Linked DNA regions of Drosophila melanogaster. The protein of the gene in region 1 interacts with the protein of each later gene in a pairwise test. Each region holds a gene or a part of one and is shown on either strand. Other genes may lie near its edges.

Region 1 (3,556 bases):
GATAAGTTTTCAGCCAGAATGACCATGAACACCATGTCCCACAACTGGACCATGGCCTACAACTGGACCATGGCCTACAACTGGACCGTGTCCAACAGGACCAGCGTGTCCCACAGGTCCGTGGCCAGCATTGACTGGGTGTCCTCCGTGTCCTACAGGAACATGGCGCAGATCACCGGGAGTTGCCTGGACGGTAGCCAGGGCAATGAGGAGGAAGGCACACAGAGCAAAGAACTTCATCGTTTCAAAATTTGATACACTTTGAGGTGCTGGAAGATCTTATATACCTAATATCGTAACCGTTTACAGTTATCTTTTTTTTTATAATTTTTCGTTATTTTTTGGGTCACAAAACACTAAATTATACGAAATGTATTTCAATATATAGGTTGCCCGTTAATTAGCGATTATGAACAGGTGCGATCATTGAATACCGGTCATTCTTGTTATTTCTGCATTTGTTTGTGCAAACAAGTTTAATTATATTATTTATGGCAACTGTGCTTTGTATAAAAAATATCCAAATTTTTAAAGCCTATATTTAGGCTTTTAAGTAAATGTAAAATAGGCTTGCTGCTGAATTTGATTTATTAATACTCGACGTCGAATTGCAGATGTAAAATAATCTGTGTGTTTGTGAGATTTCATGCAACTAATCGGATCCTCCGATTAATTGCAAAATGTCCAGGAATATGTTCATTACATCCATGTAAATATTTAGGGCAGCGAATATGTACTCCTCGGGACTAATGGAGTACCTATGCTTGCCTCCCATCATCAATTGTGTATCGTAAACTAAATAAACGGAGAAGAGCAGAGCGCTCAATGAGGCATATATGGTGGTGACCATATGTCCGCCCACGAAGATGGTCACAATTCCAAAGAAGAGCAGTATTATCAGGCAGCTCACCAGGAGGCCACCCATGACGGTAAAGTCGTAACGCGTCTGCAGAGCAAAAAGGGTGAGTCCAAGGCAAACTGACGCCGTGATTAGCACGGCCATGAAAATCTCCATTGGGGCATAACGACAGGCTGCCACGCCCAGCAGAAAGGACTCGGCTATCGTGAAGGCAGATAGGAAGATGAAGTTAGCTGGGGTCTGACGACGCAGATCCTCATTGCAGCCCAGAGCCACCAGAGAGAAGACCACTATTAGTATGGCCACCACAAATATCCAGGTGCTTTCTGCCACCATCAGACGCACCCGTTTATCAGCAGTAAGTGAAACTATAACCACCAGGGAAGTGATCAGTTGGGCCAACAGGATGAGGTACACCTTCCGGATGAATCCTCGCCGGATGCTGGCGCTGCAGAATCCCAAGCCCTTGTCTGGATCATCCTGTCCGATTTCCGATCCGTAAGCTGTATATCTTCCCAGCGGAATACACTCCGCCTGGTGGCTCCGATTTCCATACTGATGTACTGGTTCTTGTAAAATATCCAGCATTGTGTCCTTCGAACACAACTTTCAAGTAACTGCTAATTCTTAATTTAATAACCTTTGTCGGAAATTGAAGTATAGTATGACAGAAGAGTCAACGTTAAATGGAATTTACTTCTTAGAAACTATAAATCTTCTTTTCATAATTAGTAACTATCATAAACATAACTTTAACTTCATTTCTTTAGAATTCGAAAATTCACAATATTATAATATTATAATAATATATATCCAATACTGTCTTCCGTCTTATATACATTTGCAGTAATGCGTATTTATTAAATTCAAACAACAATTTTATGTAAAGATTTAAATATGTGACTAATTTGAGCAAAAACGGACTTACGGATAACTAAATGACTATATGGCTATATACACTCTGCTGTTAATACTTATTATTTATACATATTTTAAATGGTTGCAAATGTACCCCTTAGTGCGTTGCAAACTTCTGTCTGAAATCATTATACCCTCTGCAAGGGCATACAAATAAATACAACAAATTCTGCTGCTAAATAGAATATTTATTCCAATATTCAAGTAGCTTTCGTGAAATTATAAATTATCCAGCAGTTTTCTTAAGGTTCCCTTCAGAGATCGCACTGGTCTCAGGAGAACTATTGGCCTGGACGGCAGCCAGGATGAGGAGCAAAAAGGCGCACAGAGCGAAGATCTTCATTTTGGTAACTTTAATGAATACAGTCTAACAGTTGGCATGGCGCTTTTATACTACCGTTTGCAGTCGATTGAGACCAGTTTATAATTTCTATATAATTAGCATATTTAATCAAATTCTTATGCTCGTATTAATAGAATTTTAGCAATACTTTGAAAACAAGTTGGATTGCGTCATTAACAATCACAAAAAATGTGCTCCCTAATATAAAATAAAATTATTTATAATACTATTATACTAATTCCTATAATTCCAAACGGCTGCCATTGTAGCTTAAGAGAAATAAAACACGCTTATTACATTTTGACTTTTAATAAAAGAATACAATTATTTCCTTGATTTTGCTCTCATTTTTTGTATTATCTTTCGCGGCAGTTCTTTCCAAACATTTTTGGTATACCGGTAAGGATCGATGGCGTTCCTAGCGGTTCCAATCGGGAGTGGTGCCTGGGCCTTCTTGCCCCACACCTTCGGGTGTCGCCAGATTACGGGCTTTCCATGCTGGCCACCACCCCGGTATCCAAAGACTCCATCCTCGAAAACGGTCTCTATATTATCGCCGAAGGCTGTGCCCATATACCGATCTCCTGCTGCGCAATCGTAGGCCCTATAGAAGTGATTGTGGGCTACTGGATATGGAGGCGGTATAACTGGTGGCTCCTTCATTGCAGTCTGGGTGCTATGATTCACCACGTTCCTAAGGGCTTTGCGCTTCGGTCTACGAGTTCCCGCCGGCGGAGTCACATCCAGATCGAACTCCAAATCGCTCTCACTTGTGTCGGTAAGCACCAAGTGGTCGGGACATGGCTCTATAAAACGCTTCTGGCACTCTTTCTTGAGAGCCTTATTCAGGTGAAATTTATCCAAGGCATCGCGACAGGTGCACATCATCAGGGACTGGTGGCACTTGCACTTCTCGAAGCCCTGATCCTTGAGAGCACGCTTGATCTGGCGCAGTGCCACCGCCATATCGCTCTTGACGATCCGGAACGTTATGGGTTTCTGTTTCATACCCAAAGTGGGCAGTGGACGAAGGGTTACGAATATATTACCATTTCGCTTGCAAATATTGAGCACGGGATGGCCAAATCGTTTCTGTTCCTCGTAATCAGCTGTTACCTTGCCGCACATATTCGGATCTCTACTTCGCATCAGGAAGTGACGCATCACATGGCCAGAGGATCGTAGGATGGCACCTGGCCGCCAGCCATTCTTCCGTGCCTCGCAACTTTTTGTCCAGTTCCAACCATGGCGACGAGACACAATGCTTGAGGACGAAATGCAGTTTTTGTGGCCAGCCTTTGGATGATGGCTTCTTCCGTCAAGTATTTTGTCTCCTGGGTATAGCGATTTGGTCAGCTCCTTGATGGATCGCCTGCTGCGGATAGTGAACAAGGACTGAGATGCGCAGCGTTCCTTAATAGCTGAAAGCTTCTTGG
Region 2 (5,133 bases), on another chromosome or scaffold:
CTGCCAATGGTTGTAGTTGTGAAATCGTGCATAGCACAGAGCTATAGCTTACGCGTTCCGTGTGTGTAATACGCTGCGTATGCGAAATTTTCGACGTTTTCGCTTCAATGACAAATGTTGAGCAGTCAATTTGGAGCTTTCGTTGCCAGCTTTGTTGGGTACTCGATGCTCGATGGGGGTGTCAGCCACTCTGGTTGCTTTAATAATGAAGCCGATTAAGTATTTTCTGTCAAAGTCAATTGGATTCTGGCTATTCATCGGAGCATAAACAGCATTGGCGCACAAGCCGCAGCGAATGCCTAAATATTCCCCTGGGTCTTCGGATTGTGTAATTTATGAACAGCGTGTCGCAAATTATTGCTGTATTGAAACGAACAATCGATACATAAAATTGTGTAACCAAGAAGATGCGATAGCGAAATTTATATTTCGAACATGAATTCGGTATTCAATTAAATTGCGTAGGCAATCAATAATTATTTGCCAAATTTGAAATTTATATTATATGTGCCTTTGTGTACCAAACTGAACAGTAGCACATAACTGATATAAATTAACCCGAGCATATTTCCTTTGACACCCAAAAATGAACTGAAACCATTATGTGTTCTGAGGCACTTTATGACATTACAAATATAAATGGGACAAATATATTTCTTGATCAAGCATTTTCTTCACATGGTCAGCTATACATAAATCAAATTGGACTCCCACTTTAGTTGGTCAGACGATACTTAATGGCCCTCAGGATGGGGTACTTCTCGTTGGTGCAGAGTCCTCGGAAATCATCGTAGGACAGGTCGAATAGCGCGACTCCACCCAGATTTTCAGTGCGCACATAGCCGGCCTTATCGGCGGCAGTATCGGGATCCTCGAAGCTCACCCAGATGCCATTGTCGCCCTTTTTATCGGCTGCCCTGTAGGCATAAGAGCCGAAACGCTTGGCAGGATCCTGAACCTTGATCAGCGGAGCATTGGCGCCCTTCAAATAGGCGTTGTTCTGGTTGGGCAGCAGGGCGCAGACCTCCGGCCAGCTGTAAATGCCAGGCACCTGAGTGTTACCACCCACTGGAGCCTCGTCCTTGACGTCCTTCACCGGCGGAACACCAGTGTCGCCAGAGTCATCGGTCAGTTTCCATGGGCGACCGTAGGTGGCCACGCCCACATTGATCTTGCTGGCGGGACAGTTGTTGCGCAACCAGTACTTCACCTGAGCAGCCACATTGAACTCGGGATTGCGTTCGCTCAGTTCATAAATGGGTGCGGCATAGTCGGCAACTTCGGGATTACGCTGGGGTGTAAAGAAATCGAAGGTACCCAGATTCACAAAGTCTAAATAGTTGACCACAGCGGGAATGTCGTAGAACACTGTGTTGATAGAATTCGTTTTAAAATTTAAATCTCTAGACATTGCGAACGGGAATACTAACGGGATGAGTTCACATTGGGCAGAACAGTGGTGGAGAGCAGCAGGTTGTCCGGACGGAAGGCGTTCTTAACATCACGGAGTAGAGCGGTGAACTGCTCCTTGTGCTCCTCGGACTTCTCATCGACGATCGAGTCGCCGGAGAAGACCTTCTTGAAGCCCTTCCACAGGCTGCCAATTCCACTGTGCACCTTCTTCGGCTTATTCTTGGGGAACTGCCAGGCGACATCCAAGCCATCGAATCCGTAGGTCTTTACCAGCGAGTAGACGGTATTCACGAAACGAGTGCGACCTGTGGGGCTCTCGAGCAGTTCGAGATACTTGTTGGGCAGCTCCTTGGCATCCTTGTCCAGCTCAATGTCCTTGTCACCACCCACACTCAGCAGGATCTTGACATTGGGATACTTGCGCTTCAAGCGGGTCACCGTGCGGTAAAGTCCCTTGCCCAAATCCAAATCCAACTGCTGGTTCAGACTCACCGCCTTGTGCGAATCGCGCTCGATTCCGGCATAGCCGTAGACCAGATAGTCGCAGAATTGCAGAGCCGGTTCCAGTTCATCGATTACCAGCTTGCCCAGACCTAGATTAAAGAGCGGATTCGGCGATTAGGAGAAGGGATTTACGTACTGGGAAAACCCTGGATTCTGTCTTATAGTGCTGTCATCATTTTAATACATAGTTTATGGCAAATAGATAAGAAATCTATTTAAAATTAAATAAAGACTTCTTTCACACATTTTTGTTGCAATTGAAAAGCTTTTAGTTATGCCAATTATTTTAAATTTACGACCAGTCTCGGTGAGATTTACTTTTCGATTATCGCTTCCACACTCGACCCAAATTGCAAACAAACTAAACAAATCGAGTTCCGAGTATTTGTTGATAAGCCTAGTCGTTGTTTTCGATTTCGTTTTCTTATTTTACTTTTGCTAATTAGCAACTTCCACTGGAGGTTATATAATATTTAAGAGGGCAAAGTATATTACAAAGTAAGTAATACCATGTAAAACCATGCGGAATGTACCCACCTTCCTTGACGAAACTGGCGGAATCGTAGTAGCAGACCAGGTGCTTCTTGGGCAACTGCGGAGCTCCCACCTTGGAGGCCTGAATGCTGGCCAGGCACAGCGAAACGATCGCTAGGGCTTTAATGATCATCTTTGATTCGCGGATTTCACTTGATACCGTTGAGTTGTGCGCCGCTCAAGTGTCGACTTGGAACTGAAACTGGGGCTTTACTTCGCATCCCAGCTTGTCGAAGGTTGAGACGTGGTCGTCATTGTTGTTCTTGTTTTTTTTTTTTTTTGTTGCTGTTGTGGGTTGAGAGCAAAGTGTGAGCTGATAAACAAAGCTAAGCTCGGACGTGCGATCATTAGAAATAAATACAGTGGAGAGTGAATAAGGTGGACTAGGCCTATACCTACTGCTAGTTGCTAATTTCAAATATATACTTTCTTTTTGACAGCGCTTATTCCTACGCACCTGACTATAAAACTTAAAAAATATGATACTACATTTTATATTTCACTCATCTTGAATTTAACTGGTTTAAACTATTTTGGAAGACCTTAGTTGACTTGTACATGTAAGTCGTCCTTCTAAGCTTGTTTCCACTGTATTAATTCCAGTACTTTTGTGTGGGCTTCGCACAAACATATTTAAATTTTTACGACTTAGATGTCGAGAAATTTTATTTTTGCTTCTTTTTCCTCAACTCACTTATCTTTGGTTTGTTTTCTTTTCTTGTTTGCTGCTGCTCATGAATTTTTTGTGCCTCGGCATCGCCAAATTCGAGCTTTTAGGCTACAGCTGCTCCGCTGTTATCAATTCCCGACCTCGATTTGGGGTTTTTGTTCTGAACCCTAAGCCTGGGCTTCTCGTTTCCAGTCTCTTCTTTGTTTCCCCCAGTTTCCTTCTTGTTGATTTTGCCATAATTCTTGTGTTTGCTTGCCCTAATCGCTGTTCAATCCACTCGCCTCCTTTTGTTCTGAATCTCTTTTGGTCACACATGCTGATTTTCAGGTTCTGCATCGAAAAAAATTGATTACTAGTTAAAATTAAAAGTAATATTATACAATATTTTCCTCGCCTCGTAAAAAGTAAAAAAAAACTTTTTATCTGGTTTTTTTTTTTTCAAAATAAATGTAAACCAAACGGTTTTAGTATCTTCAAAATGGCGTGTTTTGCTTATTTTTATCATTTGAAATAGAGTTGCATTTTTCGTTCAGTGCTGGAAATGTCTTCTCTTTTTTAATAATTCATGCCATAGAAGTGGAGTGTGTGCTCCTTCGATTTCAGTTACTTAGTCCGCGTTGCCCTTTCTAGTTTTTTTCCTCACATATCCACATATCCACTTTTGCCATTTCATCTATCTGTATGTAACTTGAGGAATTGTTTTTTAGAATTCATGGACATATGTTTGTAGGTATGTACATATGGGTACCTACAATGAAAGGGCAAATGAAATTGACATCCAATTCTCACATCTCCCTTCGGTTTATTTGTGTGTAGGGAGAACTCTGTTGGCCTGGCACTCAATTATTTTTGCTGCAATTTCAATTTTTTACATTATCAATTAACAGTCTTGCTTTGATCTCTTTTTTTCCGGCTTTTGTGGGTGTTAATTCACGGAAAGTGAGTGAAAAAAATCGGGGTTAAGCTTTAGCTTCGAAAAACCAATCACATGCACGAGCGCTTCTGGCCGAATTAAATAAATAAAAACGCAGGGCCATGGAAAAAAGGTTTCATTTTAGGTCACAGGAGTTTTTTCAAAGTTTTTTTTTTTGGTCGTTGTCTAATTTTTACGAAAGCTTTTTCTTTTTTCGCCTAACGCATTTTGGTTAATTAATTTTCGCCATGCGCTTTTCGCTCAGTCAGCGCCAGCGGAATATTACTTACACATTTTCCTTGTAGTCCGCATAATTACGTGCACGTTTAACTTTTAATTGAAATGTTGTAACAAGAGTTGATGGTTGGGATAGGTGGTGGCGGGTAAAATGGGGGGAAAATATGGCAAAAAATGGGTTTTCTGCGGAGAGCTGAGTGAAACTAGGGCCCGGGGCCTGAGGGCTTGTCATGGCAATTTATAAAATTTCTTCCCGCTTGCCCCTTTTCCGCTACCCCTTTTCCGCTACCCCCACCCCCTTGCCACGCTTGCCTGCTGGTCTGTCTATATTTCAGTTTATTATATCGAGCTAAAAGCCGGTGCTCTTTAATTAAAAGCGTAGCCAGCAGACACACTCACACACGTTTCCATTTGATATTTATGAGCGGCCCCGAAGTATGATACACTTTTGTGGATTAAAGTGAAACCGCTTGGCAGATGGCCAGCAGTGTGTTGCCTGCTTTTTGGCCGGCATTAATAATATTTCAAAAATATTATGAGAATAGCCAAGCCACTGAAGGCGGTCTATAACGAGCCAGTCAGCAGGGAGGAGAAATGCTGAGCACTGCATGTACGATAGAACTTCTTGTGAAAGATTAGCAAGCATTTGTGATATATGATTTAAATGGTATTTAAGTGCTTTCCCTCTCCATTTTAAGTTATTTGTATTCCTGAGATAGTAGCTGGGCTTAAGTAAGAAAGTACTAGTATTTAGTACTGTATTTGGTTCTGAGAAAAAAACATTACCTATCGAATTTCAACTGTATCGCTTCTCAAACTCTGCGTCTTTTTCACCAGCATATCTCCCTGCATATTAAGCCCT
Region 3 (3,273 bases), on another chromosome or scaffold:
CGATAAATACAAACTATGTACTACTAATAATTAATTGCGCTCATAATTTAAATATAGTGCCACATTAAACTAATTCAATAATTTAGGGCATATTAATACATATACCTTACTTGCGCCCCTTTTGGCAAGAGTATTTGCAAATTACTTCAGCATATTGTCTGACATTGTTGCTGCTGCTGCCAGTCAGTCCCATCTTCCAACTCCAGCTCCGCCTATCCCCAATTCCCATCCTCTTCTGCTCCATGGGCGTTCTGCTACTTTGTGATAAATTTGGGGCCATTTAATGTTGCTGCAACACCCACGCGATCAGCGAGGACGTCTCCTCCGCAGGATATCATTTTTCAAGTGGAATAAAATCCGTTTCAGTCGCTATAGAAATCTGCCTCAAAGTAAAAATCGAAGTAAGCAGAACAGTTGCAGATCACCTTAAAGTCAATCAAAATTGACTACAAGTAAAACATTTTAATAAGAACTAAGCGAAAATTTTGTGCATAATCACATCCAAGAGAAGGAATTTAACGAAACTATAAAAACTATTTTTTTTCATTTTTTATTATGGCCAATAATGCGCTTTGATGACTGTACAAAATAAGTGTTTGTTGTTCCATGCATTAGATATTATTTAGACTATTGAAGAAGACTTGGATGTAGAGGGATATTTGTGGATTGGGTTTGATTTTGCTTTGCTGGGCTCAATTGGCACATTGTCATTGACATGCTGGGATGTCAGTGGTTCCCTTTGGTCGCGGGCAACTAACTAATTGGGATTCAGCTTGACTTCAGCAGTGGCCGCGTTAAGGCGCGATTTGGTTGGGAGGTTACGCTCCTTCTTCTCCACAAAGATCTGGTAGTGACCCTCGCCGTAGCCGAAGCCGTGCATGCTCTGGTGCATGGCAGCTGGGATGATGGTGAAGCCGCCGCGGCGCTTCTGGAGGATCTCCCTTTCCGGCAACTTGACCTCCTTCTCCTCTTCCTCGGCCGGATGAACGGCGCGGTTCTCGATGATGCAGAAGAGCTGCAGGCACTTGCGCATCAAGTAGATCATCAGCAGGATGATCAGGTTGGTGGCAAACAGATGTTTGCGCGGCGCTAGGAATAACATCCTGGGCACTTGGCACTGGGTCTAACTATCACAGACTCAAAAACTCACGCTCTCAACGGACGACGATTCGGGGCTGACTATCGCTGTGGAAGTACATCGACGGAATGAAGGATTCCCAGCCAAATCGCACTATATATACTATACCCAGATAACCTTCCTCTACCTAAGTACCTTCTGTTGGATGGCTAGGTAGACCAGTAGGTACCGCTGGTTTTTCACGGGATAGAACTGTACCTTAGGAAACTACCAGGTAATGGTACATTTAGCATTTAGTCCTTCAGATTAGGTAATCAGCCAGAACGGCAGCGACCAAATGTGTTTATGATTTTGCGGAAAATATATCCATTCGGTATCGACCTCAACGACAGGCAACGAACGGACCATCAGCAGAAGTATCTGCATCTGTGGCCGTAAATACAGCATTAAGTTTCCTTCCACGGAACGGCAAGTCTGAGCAAGATGCTAACAAAGGTCCTGTGCGGCACAGCGAGAAATTTCAAGCTAAAATGAAGTCCACATTTGTATGACTATACTTCCAATGCTACATTGTAACTGCTTCTCTTCCATAAACAAATATTGCAAGTAAAAGTATCTTCATTCTTATTGCATGTCAATAAGTTTCACTTCATCTTAATATCAAAATTCGTGCATATAATCAAGAAGTTAGTCTTTTGGGTTCTTATGCTTTACTATTCATCCTTCCATCTACCAATATTTCATTGGCATAATATTATCTAAATCATTTTTAAATATATTTTTCAACAATCTGCTCCTTAGAATCTCTTCGAAATCCTCTTATCAGAATATCCACTCGTTTAGCTCTCAGTAAGCCCATCAAGTTTGCCCCCGAGCCCCGAATCCCCGACACATTTTCGCCTAGTGCACTTCTCACATAGCCTGCTTCCTGCCCCATTGATGCAACTGCACCAAAGTGAATTTCCCCCGGCATTGTCGCCATCTTCCCCGGCAGAAAAAGTGGCATAAATTCACAAATTGAATATAAATAAATTTCCTGCCAGGCAATCGAACCAAAAAAAGGGAATAAATATGCCGTAGGAGGCATCCACACACTCACTAGTAGATATAGATATAGATGGATAGATATGTACCCTGTAGCACGTGCCACGCCCAGTCAATTGAATTTGAATGTGAACCAAAAAGCAGGCTGGGCCATAAAAATGGCTAAAATATGTTGGACAGCAGAAAAAGAAGATGGGAGAACAGCTGGCAGCAACCTCCATTTAATCAATAGCCAAAGTACCACACTCATTAAGAAAACTAAAAGTTTTCTTTCGCTTTTCACCTGCTTAAAATGCGCTCTGCTGCTGTCACAAAAAAAAAAAAAAAACTCTGGTAAAAAGGGGAATCCCCGAGGAGAAGCTGAGCAAAGTTTTGAGAAAGACCTCAGTTGAAACAACCTCATTGGCCGCTGCGGCGACTTTTTGCTTTCTGGCTTCGATTTTCCGCACACAGTGCATCCCAAAAGTCCGGCACCAGCTGCGGCCCCAGCAATTTGCCATCATTTGTTGACTTAATCATTTGATTGCGTTTTTCTGCACGCGCTGATTGAATTTTCCAGCGCAACCGCAGCCCAAAAGGAAGCCGAGAGCCAAGGCGAAAGTTTTGGGCGTGTCCCTTCGGTCGGGCAACTCTGCTGGGAAATCAAGCTAATTAGTTTAATTGATAGTTGTGACTCGGATCGCCCGATTTGGTTTTGCAACTTCACTTTGCCCCAGCGAAACACGCAAACAAATCTGAAAACTTTTCACCGAGGGAAGCACCAAATGGTTGGACAGTTGCAGACAGATGACGATATGATTGGGATAAAGAAAATATCTCTTCTCTCTTTGATTCAATTGCTTGATCGTTAAAGTTTTGACAGTGCAAACATTTATGCATAGTTATGGTGATATTCAGAAGATGAATTTTATTTTGATATTTCATGAGTTAAACATCATAAGTAGACTTGAATTCATATTGCCCAACATAAATCCACGAACACCATTCATTCTAGCCACATTTCTCCTCCTGTATATTATTTTATTTCCTCCCGAAAATAAATCAACAATCAATTGCAGATAAATATTTCGCCTCAATATTTATACGTGCCGCATGTGCCGGCATTAAAGATGAGTTTGGCAAGGACGCACAATAAATTTGGGCTACCATTC

What was found.
Region 2: the proteins of Recs1 (region 1) and Idgf6 interact in a two-hybrid assay, tested with the Drosophila melanogaster proteins (one large-scale study listed by BioGRID).
Region 3: the proteins of Recs1 (region 1) and CG8960 interact in a two-hybrid assay, tested with the Drosophila melanogaster proteins (one large-scale study listed by BioGRID).

The regions. Positions count from the first base shown.
Region 1 is NT_033777.3:14,152,313-14,155,868, forward strand, and holds Recs1 (Recs1), read right to left. Parts: upstream 1,518-3,556; 5' UTR 1,448-1,517; coding exon 653-1,447; 3' UTR 573-652; downstream 1-572. Other genes in the region: CG42500 (uncharacterized protein), read right to left, coding at 10-240; CG44215 (uncharacterized protein), read right to left, coding at 2,004-2,120; CG31533 (uncharacterized protein), read right to left, coding at 2,445-3,556.
Region 2 is NT_033778.4:16,689,221-16,694,353, reverse strand, and holds Idgf6 (imaginal disc growth factor 6), read right to left. Parts: upstream 3,333-5,133; 5' UTR 3,146-3,332; intron 2,737-3,145; 5' UTR 2,585-2,736; coding exon 2,455-2,584; intron 2,007-2,454; coding exon 1,431-2,006; intron 1,369-1,430; coding exon 716-1,368; 3' UTR 603-715; downstream 1-602. UniProt on the Drosophila melanogaster protein: Probably required to stimulate the proliferation, polarization and motility of imaginal disk cells.
Region 3 is NT_037436.4:2,195,369-2,198,641, reverse strand, and holds CG8960 (uncharacterized protein), read right to left. Parts: upstream 1,630-3,273; 5' UTR 1,247-1,629; intron 1,212-1,246; exon of another isoform or gene 1,186-1,211; 5' UTR 1,103-1,185; coding exon 758-1,102; 3' UTR 553-757; downstream 1-552.